Ovis aries: one gene and its partner. The protein of the gene in region 1 binds, or shares a complex with, the protein of each later gene. Links are inferred from orthologs where the notes say so. Each region holds a gene or a part of one and is shown in the gene's direction. Other genes may lie near its edges.

The links.
Region 2: the proteins of GNAS (region 1) and GPR6 are in contact, whole or in part, in a cryo-EM structure (PDB 8TYW), measured with the Homo sapiens proteins. The link is inferred for Ovis aries from reciprocal best matches to the Homo sapiens genes GNAS and GPR6. Residues at the interface, in NP_000507.1 of Homo sapiens: Gln35, Arg38, His41, Val217, Phe219, Asp323, Asp343, Leu346, Ser349, Thr350, Arg356, Tyr358, Cys359, Phe376, Arg380, Asp381, Ile383, Gln384, Arg385, His387, Leu388, Gln390, Tyr391, Glu392, Leu393, Leu394; in NP_005275.1 of Homo sapiens: Met107, Asp165, Arg166, Ser169, Leu170, Ala173, Leu174, Thr175, Tyr176, Tyr177, Leu182, Ile248, Val252, Arg254, His255, Ala256, Gln258, Ile259, Leu261, Gln262, Gln263, His264, Lys276, Gly277, Thr280, Leu281, Arg332, Asn333, Gln334, Glu335.

Annotation. Positions count from the first base shown.
Region 1 is NC_056066.1:57,214,604-57,219,795, reverse strand, and holds the start of GNAS (guanine nucleotide-binding protein G(s) subunit alpha isoforms XLas), read left to right. Parts: upstream 1-2,131; 5' UTR 2,132-5,192. Other genes in the region: neuroendocrine secretory protein 55, read left to right, coding at 622-1,347. UniProt on the Homo sapiens protein: Guanine nucleotide-binding proteins (G proteins) function as transducers in numerous signaling pathways controlled by G protein-coupled receptors (GPCRs).
Region 2 is NC_056061.1:27,519,888-27,524,923, reverse strand, and holds GPR6 (G-protein coupled receptor 6), read left to right. Parts: upstream 1-1,583; 5' UTR 1,584-1,745; intron 1,746-2,363; 5' UTR 2,364-2,382; coding exon 2,383-3,480; 3' UTR 3,481-3,960; downstream 3,961-5,036. UniProt on the Homo sapiens protein: Orphan receptor with constitutive G(s) signaling activity that activate cyclic AMP. Promotes neurite outgrowth and blocks myelin inhibition in neurons.

The DNA of each region.
Region 1 (5,192 bases):
CGCAAACACTCTAACCTGTGGCTCGCTGGCTGGCTGGCTCGCTCGCCCCATGGCACACGCCTGGTTCCCCCGCCGCTCGCGTCCTTCAAAACCTTTCAAACAAGGTTCCCTCCTGCCACCTGCCGGTCCACTAGGGTCTGAGCCTCGGCTCCGCGCCACCGCGCAGCGCGCGGGGACCCGCCCCCGCCTCCCTACTGCACATGCCCGGCAGAAGTCCGGGCGCGCAACTTTGCAGAACCTCTCAGCCCCGTCTGTCTTCGCCTCAGTCTCCTCTTTCCTCTCCCAGGCGAGAGGACCAGCGGAGGCACCTCTTCGGAGTCTTAGGCTACAGAGTCTAAGACTTAGAGAGAGGGGCCCCGGAGGAGACGGACTTTCCCACCCCTTTTCCCATCCTTTCTTTATGCCCAGAGAGGCAAGCAGAGGCGCGGAGCTTTAGAAAGTTGAGTGGTCAGGAAGGTAGGTGCTTCCCTTTTTCCCCTCGAGCCGAGGTGGGGCTGGGACCGCCGGACCCAGCTTCTTCCCTCGCGAGGAGCACCTTTTTCGGCTCTAGCGGCCGATGCGCTTCGGAGCTGCTCTCTGCAGAGCCAGAGGGTGGGTCGGATTCGCCGAGTGTGCGTGAGGATGGATCGTAGATCCCGACCTCAGCTAGGGCGCCGAGCTCGCCACAATTACAACGATCTGTGCCCACCCATAGGCCGCCGGGCAGCCACAGCGCTCCTCTGGCTCTCCTGCTCCATCGCGCTCCTCCGCGCCCTTGCCACCTCCAGCACCCGCGCCCAGCAGCGCGCGGCTGCCCAGCGCCGGAGCTTCCTGAACGCCCACCACCGCTCTGCAGCCCAGGTATTCCCCGAGCCCCCTGAATCTGACCACGAGGACACAGACCTCGAGCCCTCCCTTCCCGAGTGCCCAGAGTACCAGGAAGAAGAGTTCGACTACGAATCCGAGACCGAGTCCGAGTCTGAAATCGAGTCCGAGACCGAATTCGAGACCGAGTCTGACACAGCCCCCACCACTGAGCCGGAGACCGAGCCCGAGGACGAGCGGGGCCCCGTGGTGCCCAAGCGCCCCACCTTCCACCAATCTCTCACCGAGCGTCTCAGCGCCCTGAGGCTGCGGAGCCCCGACGCCTCCCCGAGTCGTGCGCCGCCCAGTACTCAGGAGTCTGAGAGCCCCAGACAACGGGAAGAGCCCGAGGACAAGGATCCGAGGGACCCCGAAGAGTCTGAGGAGCCAAAGGAGGAGGAGAAGGAGCAGCAGCGTCGCTGCAAGCCGAAGAAGCCCACCCGCCGCGACCCATCCCCCGAGTCCCCTTCCAAAAGGGGGCCCATCCCCATCCGGCGTCACTAATGGAAGACGCGCCCCGGATTCTCCTTGTGTTCTTTGACCCAGGTTGGTTGCCCACTGCTAAACTGGGGAGTCTGGGGTCGGTGCAGGACCGGCGGGAGGAAGGGAGGGAGGAAAAGCAGGTTAGAGGGGAAGCGGGAAGAGAGCGGGCTCAGTGAGCCAGCCCGGGAGGGGCAGGGGCACAGAACCAACTGGGAAGGGCTCCCCAGATCTCCCCCAGGGTGCCGGTGGGCGCCTAGGTGGCCAAACGCTTGTTGGACGGTGGGGCGTCTTTGCGTTCCTCTGGAAACAGCCAGAGGTCTCCGAGCTGGCGTCCAGGACCCGCGCAACTGAATCCCGGGCGCACCCCAGGTTTCGAGCTGTACACCCAGAAGGCACGGGTAAGTCACTTATTTTATGCGCTTTTTCCCCTTCTAGAGAAACTAGTCTCAAACCAGTTGGCCACGGCGGGTGCCAAAAACGTGGCTCAGAAGTGCTCGCGCCAACTTTCGGAAAGCAGAGCCACCGCGCTGTAGCGACACTGTTGCAATGTGCGAAAAGTAACCTGGCAGGGATTGGGTGAGAACTCCGGAGACTTGCCCGCTCCCGGAAAGTCTCTCGCGCGCGCGGCGCTTAAGGCACTTGGAGCCTGGAGCCCAGGACCCTTTGCTGCCAATTTGCAGCCGCGGGGCCTCGGCGCCAGTGCCCCTCGCGGCTGTGCGCCAGTCCTGGCCGCCACCGCCCGTCCCCGGGTGCTTGGCGGGCCAGAGACCGCCGCAAAAAGCGTGCGCACCTGCCTGCGCGCCTCATAGCAGACCTCTCCGGGCCAGCCGGCGGTTCCCCACGAATCACCTGTGCTTGGAGGGCAAGCAGAGGAGGTACGGGAGTTTCGGGAGGTGCCCAACGGGCTACCAGGGTTGGGGGCACGGACGTGGTCGTGTCGCGGCATCGCCAACCTTTTGGCGCAGCTGGTCTGATGGTGAGGCTGGGTACATCTTGGCTAGAGAGGTCCCGGGCTTTTTGCGCAGCTGCCTGGGGATGTTAGATAGTAGCTAAAAGGTCAGCGAGGTGGTCGCGAGCGGAAAGGTAAAGCAGAACAAGGAACAGGCTGGAGACAGAGTCGCGCCTATCATCAGGGAACCCCACAACGCACCCCCAAAGAAAGCATAGCCAAAGAGCGCATTCCGAAAGAGCGCAGCACCCGGTGAGCTGGGGAAAGGTGTAGGAGCCGCCGCAAGTCCCAGGGCGATTAGTTGAGAGACGGAAGGGGCCGGAGGCTCCGGCAGCCTCGGGGAGGGGAGGGCTGGCAGCCCGCACCGGCCATTTTTGGCTCGGGTGGGGATAAGTTTGGAATCTGTAACCTGAAGGCAAAGCTGGAGCACAGAAACGGCCGCAATCCGGTAACGCATCTTCGGTGCGTAAAGTGTGCCTTTCTCGCCAACCCTGGGGGGAGAAACTGGTTAGTGAAAATGTATTTACAAAACCTCCCCCGATTTGGAAATTGATCTTTTTCTTGGTGCGCGGGCGTCTCGTTTCGTGCCGGTTTGAGCTATTCTGATGAGAAGGATTTGGGGGGAAAGTGAGGCGTTTGGAGACTTGAAAAGGCGGGTCGGGTTCTTAGACTCCTAAAATAAGGTTTCAGCCTATATTCAGAACATATCTTAAGGGGTCTTCCTTCCAGGTCTCCGCCCGGGGGAAGGCGTCGGGCCGCCCCAAAACTTCGCTCTGGTGGGCTGCGGCGCTGACTAATGGCTCTCGGATGCTGCTCTGGTCTTAACTAGTAAACAGCGGCGAGGGGGCTTCCTTGGGCAGCGGGGGAAGTGTCCAGAAGTCCGAAGGCTGCCTAGGACTTGGAGGCGGGTCCGGTGTGCCCTGTCTTTGGCTTGAAAGCGTTAAACTGCCTAGGTGAAATGGGGCTCCTCAAAGCTAACATTTCTACTTAGTGTAAAAACGGCGGCGCAGTGTTCCTATTGGAGGCATTGAACGTGCTGGCTTTTTCTCTGGTGATGTCTTGGCAGCCTGCGCTCACCCAGTTAAAGGTCTCTGGTGAATAGGCGGCTGCGGTCAGGATGCCCTTGGCTTTTCAATGTGGGGGCTGCCCTCCCAGGTTGGAGAGTCTAGGGGAACTGTTTTCCTGCAGAGCTGGGTTTTCCATTAGAGAAACATGTTGCTTTAGCATATAAAAGTTGAAAAAAAAGTCCTCAGTGCAACGCCCACACCTGTCACCCCAGTCTCGGGCTGTTTTTTAAACAGAAGCCTGCGCGGGAGAGGGTGGCTTTCTTAACTGTAGGCATTATACCAGGTTAGTTGAGGGGGCTGGGTGCCCCCTTCCAGGAACGCAGTGTTGGCCATCTTTCAGACACTCCTCCACGAACTACCGGATTGAGAAAACCTGTTACCCTCCCCCACTCAGTTCCCTTCCCCCACCCCCTCCCTCCTTCCATCCTGATTCCAGGGTAGAAGAGTCATTAGGAACATACAGAACACCTGAGGAACATACCAAACCCCTGTGGGGAGGACCCCCACCCCACGGAGAGGGGCTTTTGCTATACACAGGATTCAAAAAGCCCTCTTTCTACCTACAGCACTAGTGTTTACCTGCCTTTCTCTCCCAGAAGCGTTTCTGGCAACTTCTCCAAGCATTCCCCACTCTCTAGTCTCCCAACTAGCCCTTTGTCTCACCCTGCTGCCCTGAGGTATTAGCATTTGAATGGCCTTATTTGTCCTTGCAACTTAGGAAATGGGCTTCTAAAAAGCAACCCTTAGAGTTGACCACAGGGGTGAATTATCAGCCAGTTACGAGTTTCGACTGGAGAGGAAGAAAGGAAGAGGAGGGGAAAACTAGTCAATAAAGCTGGTTAAATGGTCTGCTCCAATATTCAGGATTTTTTGTTTTGCTACATTAATCATTTGCTTAATAAAAATGTGCTTTTTCTTGGACAAAAGTGTTCTTTTAACTGAACCTGAGTTGGAAAATCATGCATCAGTGTTCAAATACTGTGTGGTGTCAACAGTATGATGAAGATTTATTTCTAAGGTTTGGCAAACAAAACATTTAATCTGTTTATCAGAATTCAGGAATTGGGAATTTTAAAGTTTGGAATTAAGATAATGTCTGTTTAACGCACTAGAAACTTTTCCTCTGGAAATGCTATCACCCCTTTACTCTTTAGCCTCAGTTTTAGCAGCTGTGATAGAAGGTTTAATGAGGAAGAAAGCTGAAACTTCAAGGTTGATAAGGAATGAGCTTTTAAAAAAAAAGTGCATGGATTTTACTCAATTTTTCTATATTATCACTGCACTTCATGTAAAGGGAGGCTACAGAGAGGAAACTGAGCAAAAATCTTGGTGGCTGGGAAAGTATGTCTCTTAACAGAAAGGTGACGGATTACAAACAAATCACTAGAATCAAATCAAACTTCCAGAGTGATGTCATATGCCAACTCAAGGACTGCCCTTCCCTTAAAAATTGTCCAGCAAAGAGGCGAGGAGATTCTCAAATTACATCTTTAATCCTGTTTTAGAATGAGGGCTGGAATTCCTCATCTTGTTCTTCGGGTTTGCCATTAATGTCGCTGTTTTCTAAATTCTGATGCCCCAGAGCTGGATAGCTGGGTCTAAGACCTCAGGCTCATTGCCCACCCCTGCCTGCGGCCTGAGGTCAGGCCCAGCGGTCTCTGCCTCAGTTTCTTCATATGGAACATGAAGGAGCTGAAGAGCAGGTCCTAGCATCCCTTTCTGTTCCCAGTACCTCCAGGGTGACTAAGTAAAGCAAATTTGACTCAGATCAATGATTTTAATGCTAAAGGAGCCTCCCTCCCCCCAAAATGAAAGGTTGATAAAATAAAAACACCAATTGTGAAGAAATC
Region 2 (5,036 bases), on another chromosome or scaffold:
AGCTCTGAAATAACATTCTTGATAATCTTCTATTGAAACTCAAAATGGCACTTCCAGAAACTTAGAACCAAGTTGCAGCCAAATTGCAAGTTCACAAGAATTTTATAAACTCTCCCAATGGAGAAATTGTGTATAAATTCATTTTATGGACCCACACTAGCTACTGCAGCTAAAGATTTGAATGGTCCTATTAGTTTTTCTTCTTTTTCTAGTTAAGTACAGCTGAACTGAGATAGGAGGGCAAGATGAGTCTGGACTTAGGGGGCATATTTAAACGGAGAAGGCCAGGATAAAAATCTACCTTCCAATCCAGCCTGGAGGCAAAATGAAGCCAGGAGAGGGAAGAAGTTACATAGGGGAAAGTAGAGGAAGCACCAGCAACAAATGTCTATTTTCACCTTGCCTAGAGCACGTGGCCCCTGAAAATCACGTCTGTGGCTCTGATATAATGCCATCATGTCAATAAGAAATCATTTATTCCAGAGCCTTAGGTGGAGTCAACTATTCTAGCTTTTCCCCCCAAGTACAGGTATTGGAGATTTTAGCTAATTAAAAAAAGAAAAAGAAGCCTAATACTTGTATTTTACTGACCAAACAAAACACCTTTAAACCAAAAGGATGAGTTATCTAAGTTGGAAATAAAACTCCTGCCTACTGAAGTCTGGTGCAGCTGAGTTATCACTATTTTCATCCTGTAATTTGTTTTATAGGGTACTAATTAACAGGGCAAAGTCTGTTGCCAGGAAAGTAAATCACATTTTGCTGTTTTCTTCTTTTCTAACAAGACACAGACCTGGTCTTTAATTAAAGAGCAAGTTCCAAGAGCACTATCAGCTAGTGCAATCGGGGAACATGTGGCTGGGGAGATCATGGTGAAACCCTCTGTGCAGAGTTCAAGAAAGGTAGTGAGAGAAAGGAAGAAATGGAGGGGGAGAGAATAATTGATTGCACAGGTAACCTTTGAAAGAAGATATTGCTTTCCCCAAATGTCCCATCTTTTCTCTCTTCCCCACAACTCAGCTTTTCTTCTCTAACTCTACTCAGGTGACAAGGGTACCACAAACATCCTTTTAAGAAACCCTCACTGTCCCCTCCATACCAGTTCATTCCTGTCCCCTAAGTTTGTTTTTTTTTTTTTTTTTTTAAGGTAGCACCTCTCTAATTGGACCTCTCTGCACCAAGCTCCCTCTTCTCCGGGGTTTTTCTTCAACCTGGCCCCCTCAGTGAGCTCCGGCCTTGAGTCTTGCTGCCTGGCCAGTGCAGCTCATCCCCCACCCCTCCCCTCCCACTTCACCCTCCTTGCTATCCCTTAGTCTTCACTCTTTTCTTCTTTGCCTCTTTCTCCCGTCTATTCCTGGAGGTTCCGAGCTGGCGGCGGCCTTCCGACCTCTCCTTCTATGAATCCTCTGAAACATCGTTTGGGGAGGGTATGTGGTGAGGGAAGTAGCTGATGGGCGGGCAAGGAGAGCGAGTGCCTGGCTTGCACCCTAGAGCCAGGAACCTGACGTCACCGCGCCCTGCCTGTCAATCTCCAGCGGGCGCGCTGCTCTTAGCCGCCTTTTCTTCTACTGACTGTATCTCTCACTCTCTCCGCAGCACCCGCACAGCGACAAGCTCCCGACACTCCCCTGCGTGCCGGGCGGGCCACCTCCTTCAGGAGTCGGCTCTGTTCGCGCGGGGAGCCCAGTCTGGCGCCCCACCGCAGCGCTCATGATCAGCGATTTCCTGAAGCCCTGACTCCCCAGGTGAGCAACCGGGCTCTCTAAAGGAACTTTGAGGGTGTGCAGAGGGGAAGGGGTGAAGGATGGCCAGGGGATGAATCCTTTTCACCCGGAGAAATGGAGCCAAGCTGATTCCACACTCTCCACCTAAAAAGACATTCCAGCTTCTCTCCCCCAAAACCCGTTTCCTAGGAGTCTCTGAAGCCAGAGGGGTCCTCTGTGCTCCCCGAGCGCAGAAACTTCTCTTTCAGCACCGCGGACAGCGATTCCGCCGCTTAGTTGAGGAGAGCGCCTGACCGAGCGGGTCAGAGCCCGGGCAGGACTCGCTGGGGCCGACAATAATAACCTGGTGCACAAGATGTGGTTGCAAATATGGGCACACTTACGTGATCCGTGTGAATGTGAGTGCATGTTCTTCGTGTGTTTATCTGTGCAAAAACTCCGATACCAGTGCGGCATCCCTTGTGCGTTTCACTCTCACTGGCTCACTCAACAGGTATTTATTTATTTTTGGCTCTCAATCACTGCTTCCTCGCTCTGCTCTGAGGCGGGATGGGCAGTACGAGCAGGGCAGCAGCGCCCGGGGAAGTACCCTAGCGGGGTGAACCGCACATCTGACACTTGTTCTCCCTCTCCACGCAGGGTGTAACGTCCCGCCGCGATGAACGCGAGCGTATCTGCGCTCAACGACTCCCAAGTGGTGGCAGTGGCGGCCGAGGGTGCGGCGGCAGCGGCCACCGCAGCAGGAGCGCGGGACACCGGTGAATGGGGGCACCCGGCAGCCGCAGCGGCGGCGGCGCTGGGGGGCGGCGGCGCAGCTAATGCGTCGCTGGAGTTGTCTTCGCAGCTGCCAGCGGGGCCGCCAGGGCTGCTGCTCTCGGCAGTGAATCCATGGGACGTACTGCTCTGCGTGTCTGGGACGGTGATCGCAGGCGAAAATGCCCTGGTAGTGGCGCTCATCGCGTCTACCCCTGCTCTGCGCACGCCCATGTTCGTGCTGGTGGGCAGCCTGGCCACCGCCGACCTGCTGGCGGGCTGCGGTCTCATTCTGCACTTCGTATTCCAATACGTCGTGCCCTCAGAGACCGTGAGCCTGCTCACTGTGGGCTTCCTTGTGACCTCTTTCGCTGCCTCAGTCAGCAGCCTGCTGGCCATCACGGTGGACCGCTACCTGTCCCTCTATAATGCACTCACCTACTACTCCCGACGGACCCTGTTGGGCGTGCACCTCCTTCTTGCTGCCACCTGGACCGTGTCCTTAGGCCTCGGGCTGCTGCCGGTGCTTGGCTGGAATTGCCTGGCGGAGCGCGCCGCCTGCAGCGTGGTGCGCCCGCTGACGCGCAGCCATGTGGCGCTGCTCTCTGCCACCTTCTTTGCGGTCTTCGGCATCATGTTGCACCTGTACGTGCGCATCTGCCAGGTGGTCTGGCGGCACGCACACCAGATCGCGCTGCAGCAGCACTGCCTGGCGCCACCCCACCTTGCTGCCACCAGAAAAGGTGTGGGAACGCTGGCAGTGGTGCTGGGCACTTTCGGTGCCAGCTGGCTGCCCTTTGCCATCTACTGCGTGGTAGGTAGCCACGAGGACCCAGATGTCTACACCTACGCCACCCTGCTGCCCGCAACCTATAACTCTATGATCAATCCTATCATCTACGCCTTCCGCAACCAGGAGATCCAACGGGCCCTGTGGCTCCTGTTCTGCGGCTGTTTCCAGTCCAAAGTGCCCTTCCGCTCCAGGTCCCCCAGTGAGGTCTGATGGCCCCCTCCACCCTCTAACCAACACCACACCCCTAACAAGCCAGCCTTTGGTGAGCTTCTTGGTGCCTGCTGATGAACTCTGAGATCCCAATAGTGTGACTGATTTTGGAAAGCCAGGATAAATATAAACACAACAAACTCACAGAGACAAAGAGGCTTGTTGGCACTTTACATATACAGTGTATACATGTGTACATATATATACAAATATTTGTATCTTCTGGAGGTGTTCAGGAGGTGGAATTTCCTGTTCTGTGAAAAAAAACTAACAAAAATGTGGTTGTATACTCAAATTGTACATCACATTTGTTGAGTGAAGACATTCCAATACTGCTTTATTATAGCACTTTATTTTTAGCTGCTGAACTGCCAAAACAGTGTTGCCATTTTCAAGGGGAGGGGAAGAGGGTAAAAAGTGTATTTTTGTTGTACGTGATAGAATATTTTGCTGCATACACATCAGTAAATTACAACATATTTTGTACACAAATAAACACATTATAAAAATGTAATTTGGGCATGTGACTGGTGATAGAATTACTATTTAAGACATGAATTATTAGTGCATTTACTTTAAAAGTTTATTATGTATCATCATCCTGTGAAAATCTTAATGTAAAAAATCATACTTACTTGATCATAAATTATCATTGAGACACCTAATACAAATTATTGGGGAAGTCAAGAAGGGAATAATTACTCACATAATAGCATTCACAGGCCACTAAAGGGTTATTTGTATATCAGTACAAATTGGTTACTGGGTTTGGAAGACAAGCTCCAAAGGATGTCTGAAACCATTCCTTCATCTTACCACATGTGTGCTTACAAACCCACAAGCCACAAATTTAAGTGTATTTTTTCCAGTCTGGAAAGAATTTTAAATGTTGAAAATTCATATTGACTGAGTATATTGTTACTGGCCAGGTCTTGTAGCAAAATGCACAGCCTTATAAAATAAATAAATTCTTCAAAGACAAGACCTCAAGATATACTGTGTTCATGAGGTACATGAAGGTAAGCCCAGCAGCCCACTTTGAGGCACTCTTATCTGCAAAGCACAGGACATTAAACTAATAACCTTAAGAACTAAACTTTCCCACTCCACCAATGCATGTGAATCACAGTTAAACTGTTCCCTCCTTCCCTTCCTATAGGTCATGTGAGAATAAATAATATATGTGGACAAATTCTGAGCACCTATGAAGATATATGCACACAAGCACAAGTAGTCACCGGCCTTAGGCCTTGGGAAAATATACACAAGCAAAATTTTTTATATAGTTCACAAATATTTATTTAACGCCTACTATCTGCTAGACACAGTCCCAATGCTGGGAATACAGAAGCAAACTAAACAGACAAAAGGTCTCTACTCATAGCATTATCCTCTAGTGGGGAGATAGTTTACAAGCAAATAAATCCATATGAAGAAATTTATTATGAAGAATTATCTCATGCTACTGTGGAGGCTGAGAAGTCTCAAGGTCTATAGTCAATAGGAACAAGCTGGAAACCCAGGAGTGCTGATGGTGTAGTTCCAATTTGAGTATA